Rattus norvegicus: one gene and its partners. The protein of the gene in region 2 interacts with the protein of the main gene of each other region in a pairwise test. Links are inferred from orthologs where the notes say so. Each region holds a gene or a part of one and is shown on either strand. Other genes may lie near its edges. The genes, in order: Sftpc, Tmem79 and Sln.

The links.
Region 1: the proteins of Tmem79 (region 2) and Sftpc interact in binary tests that used the Homo sapiens proteins (3 or more experiments, as listed by UniProt). The two-hybrid records come from large-scale screens. The link is inferred for Rattus norvegicus from reciprocal best matches to the Homo sapiens genes TMEM79 and SFTPC.
Region 3: the proteins of Tmem79 (region 2) and Sln interact in binary tests that used the Homo sapiens proteins (3 or more experiments, as listed by UniProt). The two-hybrid records come from large-scale screens. The link is inferred for Rattus norvegicus from reciprocal best matches to the Homo sapiens genes TMEM79 and SLN.

The regions. Positions count from the first base shown.
Region 1 is NC_086033.1:52,006,552-52,010,151, reverse strand, and holds the start of Sftpc (pulmonary surfactant-associated protein C), read left to right. Parts: upstream 1-943; coding exon 944-985; intron 986-2,115; coding exon 2,116-2,274; intron 2,275-2,528; coding exon 2,529-2,654; intron 2,655-2,874; coding exon 2,875-2,985; intron 2,986-3,324; coding exon 3,325-3,471; 3' UTR 3,472-3,481; intron 3,482-3,600. UniProt on the Homo sapiens protein: Pulmonary surfactant associated proteins promote alveolar stability by lowering the surface tension at the air-liquid interface in the peripheral air spaces.
Region 2 is NC_086020.1:176,098,577-176,102,401, reverse strand, and holds the start of Tmem79 (transmembrane protein 79), read left to right. Parts: upstream 1-1,531; 5' UTR 1,532-1,602; intron 1,603-2,179; exon of another isoform or gene 2,180-2,198; 5' UTR 2,199-2,340; coding exon 2,341-3,088; intron 3,089-3,312; coding exon 3,313-3,526; intron 3,527-3,825.
Region 3 is NC_086026.1:63,138,257-63,142,081, forward strand, and holds the start of Sln (sarcolipin), read left to right. Parts: upstream 1-1,465; 5' UTR 1,466-1,488; intron 1,489-3,825. UniProt on the Homo sapiens protein: Reversibly inhibits the activity of ATP2A1/SERCA1 and ATP2A2/SERCA2 in sarcoplasmic reticulum by decreasing the apparent affinity of the ATPase for Ca(2+). Also inhibits the activity of ATP2A3/SERCA3.

The DNA of each region.
Region 1 (3,600 bases), on a different chromosome or scaffold from region 2:
AGGAGGACAGAAGGGTAGAAAGGACAGTAGAAGGGCAGAGATGGCTGGGACCACAATCAGTCCTGTGCAAGGTCATCTTGGCTGAAGAAAATGTCAGGAGCTAAGGATGTGGCTCGGCAGTTAGATGGCTTCCCAAGCATGCTCACGACCCTAAGTTTGATCCTCAGCACTAGAAAGATGGGATAGACCACCAGAACATTTGTACAGACAAGCCCAGAGCAAAGAACAAAACAGTACTCATCACCCATGAGTAATAGTTTCCCATCAGTGGGGACAGAACTTCCAGAATTAGGAAGCAAATCTGAGGTGAGGGACAGCATGTGTGGGAGGAGGTTGGGTAAAGAGGAATCCGACCCTAAGAAATCACATTAATGGACCCCCAGGTGCTGTCCCAGGCCCAGCTCCTCCACCAGCCACCTCTCCAGCCTCATCAACAAGCGCCACTTTCTCAGTCCCTGAATGGAACTCGTGTCTGGGCCTGAGGAGGTTATCTTGTGAAAAGGGATGGCCGGATTCTTGGCTGCCACCAGAACAGTTTGGCCTGTGAGAAGAAGAGAAGCCACAGGGCTGCAGGGGCAGGTGCCAGCAAGAAAGGCAGACATGCCAGAAAGACACCCACGGTGAGAGGAGCATGTGGCCTGAGGGTGAGTTTGCTTACCTCATCCAGGTTTGCTCTCCTTGTGGCCAAGAGGATTCATGTGCCTAGGCCAAGGGCCCTTGGGGGCTCTTGCAGCTGGCTTATCAGGGCCTAGGCTCTGAAAAGCCAGGAACAAACAAGCTTCAAAGCCAAGGACTTGGCTGGCAGACAGGAGACCCAGTCCTTCACCTCTGTCCTCTCTCTCTCTCTCTCTCTCTCTCTCTCTCTCTCTCTCTCTCTCTGATGATATATATAAGACACTGGTCACACCAGAGAGATGAGGAGAGGAGAGAGAGACCTTACAAAATGGACATGGGTAGCAAAGAGGTACTGATGGAGAGCCCACCGGTGAGTGTGTGTGTGTGTGTGTGTGTGTGTGTGTGTGTGTACAATTGTACACACATAGTATATTGGATTTGCCTGTCCATCCCCCACTAGGCTTTTTTCTTTTTCTAGACTCATATACTCAACTAGCTTACGGGTGGGCTGCTAGGACAGAGATACCATGATCACTAAGTCCTTGGCAGAGGCAGGCATGACAGCCATGAATTCCTGAATAAAGGTGTTGAGAGCCATAGAGGGATCAATAGAAAGGACTGTGAAGAACATTGATAGTGCCACCAAGTAATTGGGAGGCTATAGGGAGCATCACAGAGCAAATGACATGAGGCCAGAATGTGGACCAATGGTTAGAGAGCCTCGTAAGCATGGAGACCTGAGTTCAGTCTCGTTCTACATAATCCAGGCATGGAGGTGCACACAGTTTGGAAGTGTAAGCAAGATAATCATTCAGGGTTATCCTTAGATAAATAAGGAGTTGAAAAGCAACCTGGGTCATAGATATATGGTTTTAAGAAAAGGATGGCTCAGTAGGTAGTGGTGCTTGCTACCAGATGTGGCAGCTTGAGCTTAATCTCTAGAATTCCCTTGGTGAAAGGAGATGAAACTTGTTTCTGACTTATACACACACATACCATACACACATGCACCCTCATGCATACCACACACATGCACAAACACATGCACACTCACACTACACATGCACATGAACAGGCACACATACTAAATAAGTAAATGTAAAAAATATGAAGATGGCACATGGACTGAATTGGGAAGGGACAAAGGGGATATAAAGGCATGGAGATGGCAATACCTGGATCCTTTGAGGGAACAAAAACTCTGCCTATGTCTGGGCGGCCAGGCGTGTTGGGAAAACAGAACAAGAGATTGGTAACTGGCTCTCTTGGATTATTCCAAACATAGAGTTTGCTTCTAACTTTCTAAGTATCTATGGCTTTTGTTAGAGTCCAGACACCTTCCCCAAAGCCTTCCTCCCCAAAAACCTTCTCTGATCTTCCCAGCCCTTCCTTGCACACTCAAAGCCTAAAGGGGCATAAGAGGGTGTCCCGCTTGTACAGGGAGAGAAGAGTCATCCTTGCACCCACCCATTTGTCTCTCTGCTTTCCTTGCTCTCCCAGGATTACTCGACAGGTCCCAGGAGCCAGTTTCGCATTCCCTGCTGCCCCGTGCATCTCAAACGCCTTCTCATCGTGGTTGTGGTGGTAGTCCTTGTCGTCGTGGTGATTGTAGGGGCTCTGCTCATGGGCCTTCACATGAGTCAGAAACATACTGAGATGGTGAGCAGACAAGAGCATATCTGGTGACACAAGCGGAGATGAGGTGGCCATCCAGCATAGATTCTCTCCCCTAGGCCCTGGCCTAGTGTAACCACCACCAGCTGTTCCAACGCAGGAAAGTTATGTTTAGCCTTCCTGAGATCTCAGGGAAGAAGGAATTGCATTTGAATAGAGGATTCTGAGTAGATATGGGCACCAAAAGGCTGAAGGAAGAAAGAGAAATGTCAGACCACATTCTAACACCCTTCCCCTAGGTCCTTGAGATGAGCATCGGAGGAGCACCGGAAACTCAGAAACGCCTCGCCCTGAGTGAACACACAGACACCATCGCTACCTTCTCTATTGGCTCCACTGGCATCGTTCTATATGACTACCAGCGGGTGAGGACACCTGAGGGACCACCAGGACTTTACGGGAACTGCCCAGTTGTAGCATTTCCAGAGCTCTCCCCATTCTGTGCCTGCCTGCCACATCTCAGAGGCTTGATTTAAATGTGTCCCCCATGAACAATCTACAGGGAGTTAGTTGGCTGAGAACCAGGGTTGGGGAGTAGGCGAGGCAAGGGGACATCATAAATGACCTCCAGTGTTACATGCCTAGCTCCTGACTGCCTATAAGCCAGCTCCAGGAACCTACTGCTACATCATGAAGATGGCTCCAGAGAGCATCCCTAGTCTTGAGGCTTTGGCTAGAAAATTCAAGAACTTCCAGGTGGGTGTGTGAGGGAAGAGAGAGAACTGTCTCCCTCCAAGGGCTGAGTAGAGGGACATTTTAAAGAATGACTAGTCCACCCTGTGTAGTATTGATGCTCCTGGACCAGACATGTTCTTCTCTCTACATGGGCCTGTGTCCCATCTTCCCTACCACCTCTCAGGTGACCTGCTAAATTGCTGGCCTTGGCTGAGCTCAGACATACATCCCCTACAGGCTTCTGTTTCCAACCCAGTCCCTCTCCGAATTAGTGAGGAAAACTGACCCTCCTGAATTTGCCTTATCAGTTTAGTGTCCTGCACTAATGCAGGTGACACTGAAAGCAAGTGCTCTTTCCAGGCCAAGTCCTCCACACCCACCTCTAAGTTGGGCCAGGAAGAAGGGCACAGTGCTGGATCCGATTCTGATTCTTCTGGGCGAGACCTGGCTTTCCTGGGCCTTGCTGTGAGCACCTTGTGTGGAGAGCTACCACTGTACTATATCTAGCACCCCTCAGGTGAGCAACAGTACCTTTCGGGATGCCTGAGCAACACTGGGAGGGCTTGGGCTGCCTGCTTTGTCAGGGGACCTACTAGGGATCTGATCTCTTGAAGTCAGCGGTCTCAGGGAGCTCGA
Region 2 (3,825 bases):
CTGACCTCCACACACGAGCTCTGTAGCACGCTCCCTGCCCCCAAAATAAAATTAATCTTAAAAAAAAATTGAAGTTTCTAGGAGAGAAGAAAAGAGATCGTAGAGTGCAAAGCGCTACATGGGACAGCTAGGGGCTGGAGAAATGACTACCCACATGGCAGCTCACAACCATCTGTAACTCGAGCTCCAGGGTATCCGAAGCCCTCATACAGACATGTATAGAGGCAAAACGCCAATGTGCATAAAATAATAAAATGAATGGACCAGCTGTCATTGAAGCAGAAATTGCAGAAGAGGAGCAGTGAAAAGATTTTAAGATCCGGAGGTAGTGGAGGTCTGCACTGAAACAGTATTTGCCAGACAGAACAGCGCTGTCAACAGGAGCTCACCTGTGACTGCATGCACAAGGTCAAGTCAGCCAAAATCCCAGCACGCGTGTATTGTGGGAAGGCTCATGAAGTATCCCAACGCCTAATTGAGGAGCTACTAGAAATTGATGGCTGCTGAGAAAGAGCCGGTTTTTGCTTGTTTTTTTAAAGGAATTCCTCAGAGACGCTACATTTATTTAGTATGTGTGTACATTTGTGGATGCATGTGTTCTACAACATACACGTGGACAGAGAACTTGGGAGAGTTCTCTGGGGATCAGACTCAGGTAGTCAGGCTTGATAGTAAGTACCCTTACCTGATGAGCCATCTTGACAGCCCTATTGCTTTCTTAACCACAAACCTAAGTAAGCTAAAGGGGTCTTTGGAGTCCTGCATATACAGACATTATAGTGGCAATGTATATACCACTATGCTCCCGGCTCCAGCCACCAGGTCTCCTTTCTATTCCTCAAACTGCCTCAAGTCTTTTCCATCTGTTGACTTTTGACCCGCAGTTCCTCTGCAGGAAACTCCCGTTGGGTTTCAGCTTCAGAGGCACCTTAAAGAGGCTCTCCCTACTGAAATTCTACTGATTTAGTTCACAGTAAAATTAGTGTGAACTTTAATGTCTGTTACCTGAACAGCTAGAGACCTTGTCATTTTGTTCTCTTCTGTACTTGTGCCTAGACTAGCACCTTTCTGTTTGTTGGAATGTGTGTGTGTGTGTGTGTGTGTGTGTGTGTGTGTTTGAGACGGGGTCTCTACATAACTCCAGCTACTGGACCAGCCTGGCTTCAGACTCACAGAGATCTGCCGGCCTCTGCCTGCTGTCCTGGGATTAAAGGCTTGTACCACCACAGAAATAGCACCTTATTAATAATCAATACTCAATAAACATTTACTAGATAAACAAACTTGCAGTGTTATCTTTTTCACAATTTACTTTAAACACCCTTTGATACATAAACCCACTTTTATACCCTGATGCTTCCCTGAGCTGGAAGCATGTGCCCAGCTGCACCCTTACTTTCAAAAAGGATGACGTTGTCCTGTACAGCCCTTCCAGTAGGCAGATTCTGCAGGACAGGGCCTGTGCCTTTAATCTGAGCCCCACCTGCTCTGGTCAGACAGGTTTTGAGACAGGCAAGGGGAGGGAGACTGGGAAATACTTGCAGAGCCAGCCAGAAGCTAGGCAGTTCTTTTCCGGATCCTCTGCCTCTCTGCAGATGTAAAGTAAGAGGGTATCATGGGTCCAAAGGGCAGGGGTAGGAGGGGCCCTTGAGGTGAAGGAAGAAAAGAGCCTTATCCAGAAGCAGTGAGCTGGAGGGTGGCAGGGGAGGAAAGAAAGACATGGGAAAGGGAGACATGGGAACCACCGCCACACTAGAGCTGAGAGTCTGAGTGGAGCCCAGCCCAGCCGAATTGGGTGAGACTGGCAAGGGGAGTTTGGAAAATGGTTGGCTCCTGGTGTGGAGACTAAGGAACTGAGTATCTCAGTTGCCAAGAGTCCCAGGTAGGGATCGGCAGGGCAAAGGGCAGGTGGAAGGGTGAAGGCCGGCTTCTGTCTAGGATGATCCTTGGCTGTAAGGAAACTCAGCCGAGTCCTAGACACCTCAGCCTCCCATTCCAAAGCTAGGGTGGCCATGAATCCAGGAGTTTTTGGTGGAGAGAGTAGAAGGCAAGTGTGGACATAGACCGAGGCCTTAGCTGCCTCTGCTTGTGCCCCCTGATTCACCCTTGTCCTGCTGGATGACATTTATTTGGAAAGTTACCCACCATTTCACTCTTCTGCTCCGCCTCTCTGTTTCAGCACTGTGTTCTCCCTACAGTCCCACGAGGCCGGCTGCTCTGGGGAGTTCTAGGTCTGAGAAACTGTACTAGGGCCAGAAGACAAGGTATTTTCACAGAACCTCCCCCACTCCCTATAGGATGACATCGCCTTGTGGTAGATCTCAGAACTGAAGCCTCATAATGACAGAACCGGAGACACTGGCCCTGCTGGACATGAAGGACACTGAGATTTCAGAGAAGAGCCCACCGCAGGCTTCAGTCCTGCAGCCAGAGGAAGAAGGTGGGACTGAGTCCCCTGGAGCTGAGTCCCTCAGAGTGGGGTCTTCAGTAGGGTCTCCTACAGTCAGAGAGGGGCCTGAGGATGGACCAGACAGCACAATAAGTGAGGCTGCCACTTTACCTTGGGGAACTGACCCCCATCCCAGCGCCCCACTTCCGGATCCCCCGGGCTGGCGAGATATTGGGCCAGAGCTCCTAGAGTCAGAAGCACCTATTAAGTCGGAGGAACCACTCAAAGAGGATGCCAACCTGCTCCCTGAGAAGACAGTTAGGGCCTTCGTGCCCATTGACCTACAGTGCATCGAGCGGAAGCCTCAGGAGGAGCGCATCAAGCATCGTGAGGCCGGACCAGGCGAGCTCAGGAATTTCTTGCCAGCCCGACTCAGCCACCCTGAGCCCCCAGAGCGCAAGTGGGCTGAGGCAGTTGTGAGACCCCCTGGCCGGTCCTGCGGGGGCTGTGGAAGCTGTGGAGGCCGTGAGGCACTGAGAGCTGTAGCCTCGGTGGTGGCTGCCCTCATCTTCTTCCCCTGCCTGCTGTATGGAGCATACGCCTTCCTGCCTTTCGATGCTCCAAGGCTGCCCACCATGAGCTCCCGCTTGGTCTATACCCTCCGCTGTGGGGTCTTTGCCACCTTCCCCATCGTGCTGGGTGAGTCTGGGCCGGTGGAGAAGGGCTACCTGGGAAGCAGACTAGAGAGGTTTGGATTGGGTGGTTTCTCTTCATTATGCTGGAACTACTGAGGGCATCCCAAACCTGCCACTCTCTGCCCCCAACCCCGTCTCCTCCAGGGAGCTTGTGTGTCCACTCAGTAGCCCTGACCTCATTCCAACCCTCCTGTCTTTTCTGACCCCGTGTGCTTCCTTTCCTGCCAGGGCTCCTCGTGTACGGGCTGAGCCTATTGTGCTTTTCTGCCCTTCGGCCCTTTGGAGAGCCGAGACGGGAAGTAGAGATCCACCGGCAGTACGTGGCCCAGTCTGTGCAGCTCTTCATCCTCTACTTCTTTAACCTGGCTGTGCTTTCCACCTATCTGCCCCAGGACACGCTCAAGCTGCTCCCCCTGCTCACCGGTCTGTTTGCCATATCTCGGTGAGTAGGGGCTGGGGCGGCCATGGCTAGGGTAGGCGTGAGGGAATTCATGATCCCAGATCCTCCAGGGAGCTTGCAGGTCCGCAGCCCTGAGGTCGGGGATGGAGGTCGGGGATGGGAGTCGGGGGTGGGATGTTTCTGGATATGCACCATGCACCGACGAGCCTGCTCTGTCTGCTGAGCTGCACTGGGTAGCAGGTACTCAGCTCTTCTCTCCCTTTTAGAGGTTGGTCTCAGCTGTGCCAAAGGGGAGCTTTCGACTTACATATTTCCTCACATCTAAGCACAGCCCCGACACT
Region 3 (3,825 bases), on a different chromosome or scaffold from region 2:
AAGACAAGTGGTGACAGAATGTTGTAATTAGACTACCCTTCGATGGGCTCATGTTGAAATAAAGCAATGCAATGGAAAATCCTTCTTTTATTGGCGCCCCTGGGGAGGTAGGGATGGCGAGAAAGGCTTGACCATGGATACAAACACGCAGAGAATTGTGTTCACCCCTGCCTTCTGGGAATGACTTATTTTTATTAACCCTAACTGGGGACTATTAGGGGAGATTTAACCTATTATTCTTAAAGATGAGTTTTACTGAGGAGCACAGTTATGGGAGTCATATTTAAATTCCTCAATTGATGGCTTTCAAATCCATTTAAACATGTTAAAGGCTTCACTTACTTCCTCTAACCTGATTTGTTACAAACTCATCCTTGTCTGATTTGCGCCAGTGTTCGCTGTTGAAAATGATGTCACTTCATTTCTTTAACTCTACGGGCTGGTGAGGATGCTCAGTGGTTAAGAGCACTTGGTATTTCCCCATTGGTCTAGGATTTGAATCCTGGTACCCACACAGGGGCTCACAATTGTTTGGAACTGGACGATGCCCCCTCCAGCCTCCCAGGTCACTGTACACATGTGGGTTCACACACACACTTACCTTCAGGTAAAATAGTCATATAAACACAAACTACAACACAAAGGAAATAAAAATGATATATTCTAGATATTTCTATCTAATCTAGAACTCACATTCCCACTAGTTTTGACCAGGTTTACTTCTAACCCCCATTTAGCCAAAGGCCTGGGTTTTGCTGTCTGTTTCACTGCTGTGCTAGTTTAACTGACACGGATACAAGCCATGGCTCCCATGGCTGTTTCAGGAGAGATCGGCTGAACATGTAACCTCACTGTGCATTGCTTCGGTGGAAAGTTATGTGCAGCAGGTGATGGGGTTGGGAAGGGGGATAACTTCTATCGCTAGGATAAAAATCAGCCTCGAAGGAGACTTAAGGGATTCTGGAGCTCGGTGTGAGAATGTGGGAACAAGGTAGAGAATTCTCTACATTTCAAACAGCTAATGACTCAGGTGATGACGTGAAATTACATTTTTATAGCTTCCTGTGTCCAGTGGTGAAGACAGCTTATTTGTTAAAGCTGGTCTATCGCTCTTGCTTTCTGGTGTTCTGAACATATGATTGGGACATTTATAAAGTGGGAAAAGATGGATTTCAATCCCACATCACTGCACCCAAAGTAGGCTGGGAACAAGAGTCTTCACACCCCCGTGTTGTTAATTTAAATTGGCAGCCCAAGGAGCAGAGCCTTGGCTACCATAGTTCCATGTCCCCCTGAATACAAATAGGCTGGAACCCTTGGAGCTTGTCCCTTTGAGATGTCTCTCCAGTGACATCACAGTGATTGTCACCTCCCTCAGACTACATTAGGCCCTGCCCAGAGTCCAGGAGCTCAGACAGCCGGGGAGACAGCTGGAGTTGGAGAGATTGAGGTCCACGGCAGCCTGGGTGTGTCTTTGCTTCTCTTCAGGTAACAGCAAATCTTTGTACTTAGCAATCTCTTCCTGTCTCTGTCTCTCTGTCTCTGTCTCTCACCGTGTGCAATTTTCAAATAAAAATGTTAACTGATGCTTTTATTTCCCAGGGGAACAGGTAATCACCACAGAGTGCATTTTTTGAGCGCGAACTGAATATTGATTCCTGCTTTTCTTTGATATACATTTTCTCTTTTTCTAATTTTATATTTTCCCTACACCCCAGAAAAAAAAAAACCAATGTCAAATTCCTTGTACAATTTGGTGCTAGTTTGTAAGACTTTGGCCCATGCACAGGACGGCCATTTTGACTCACAGAGAAGGCAAAATAGGAAGCCAGAGCACGTGTGTGGGCTCATAGCAGAGACATAGAATATGGGTGATCGAATGACTGCCTAATTCTGCTCATTCCTCTCAAAGGGTGTGGATGTGTGTGAAAGTAAGATCCCAGACTGCATTGCCATAGACTTTGATAGAATTGCACCCATTGGGAATTCATCAGACTGGAGTTCTGTTCATATACATATATATATATATATATATATATATATATATATATACAAATATTTAAGGTTTCCATCAAAGTAAAAGAAATAGCAGAGGTTAAACCAGAGGAAAGAGAAGTGTGGTGCTCAGCCTATAGTCAGAGGGGATGAAAAACATGAAGAGTAGAAAAGATTCAAGCAGCTGAAACACAAATTATAAGAAACACCAGCCTCACTACCATTTACCAAGAAACAGATCGTTGGCGGCACCCCAGAAGTCCATTCCAAATCATTTCCCTTCTGCCTTCTGTCTCCAAGCATGGAGCTTGTCTGTCCTTCCTTGTTTTGAACTTTTACCACCGTGTTTGTGTTCCTAAGCAACACGATTAAGCTCCTGGTGCCTGCCCTTGTGTAAATGGGGTCACATTCTCAGCTCCTCTTGTAAATCCTCTTTTCATCCCACAGGTATGGTGTGAGATCCTTCCATCTTGCCCTGTATAGCTAGAGTAGATCATATATTTTCTTTACTCCACAATATTCAAATGAATGTGAATGCCATGATTACCCATTCTACTGCTGGTGGCCAGAGCTTTCCAATATGTGGTCTTGGGGGTTCATGTTCAGGATTCCTTTGCTGTGAGCACTTCACCTAACAGCCTCCCCCTCTCCTCTGAACGCTCACGAGCATTCTCTTCCCTTTTGCTACCCACTAATTTTCTTCTGCTTACTGTCTCTTCCAGACAACTGTCTGTTAAAGTTTTCACTAGTAATTGACAATGTCCATCATGCTAAGGGCCGAAAGAGAGATAAGAATTAAAAGGGGGAGGGGCTGGCAAGATTGCATAACAGAAAAGGCATGGCTGACAAGCTTGATAACCCGAGTTCAATCTCCAAGTCCCCCAGGGTGGAAAGAGAGAACTAACTCCTGAAACTTGTTCTCTGATCTCTGCATGTGTACTGTGACACACAAGTGTCTCCTGCACCAGCTGCATACATAAATAAACACAATAAAAATCAAGAATGAAAGGGAAAGGAGCCATAAATCAATCTTCATTGGCTATATTTAAAATGAGATTCTATAATGTGGAACAAACCTGCTTATTATACTCAAAATTATGTAATAAAAGCTGATTATTCCGCTGGTATCTATGCAATTAATAATTTGGTCCATTGATGATGCAACAAATACAACAGGTACAGTTAATTCAGTCAGGCCAAAAGTTGCTACAAAGCTGTTGCCCTTAAACTTTGACTTTTTGCAAACCAGTATTCTTTCCAGCTGAATTTTTCTTCTGTGCTATAGTCTTGTCCTACAGTAATAGTATCTGCTTAAATCATTTAAGATACAGAAGATTTAAATTTTAATTTGATTATATAAACCAAGCATCAGTTTACTACTTTACCAAAAATGAGTAACCTGATTGACAGCATCACCTGCCCTCTTGGAGGACACTTTCCTGCATGTACGATCCGTATGCACGGTGAAGATGCCTTCTGTGCTGTCTAAAATGTTTACAATCTAGGCACATCCTGAGCTTGACTAAAAATAGCTGGCACAAGCCCCTGTTGAAACAGAAATGCTCATGAGGTTAACACTTGTTCTTTGGACTGAATACCGGTTGTGCGAGGGACTTCTGGTTGACCTCTGCAGGTTTTGTGCCAGGATAGGCTTGTACAAAGCCGTGCAGCTGTTGGAGCTTCTTTATGCTTTCACCAGGGTTGGATGAAGACCTAAGGCAGCTTTAAATCCGAAAGATGATGTTATCCCGCTCCTAAATGTGATCCAAAGAAAGGGCAATGCTAAACTTTAAGGTTTGCTTCTGGTTTGGTGTCTCTGCTTGCAGATAT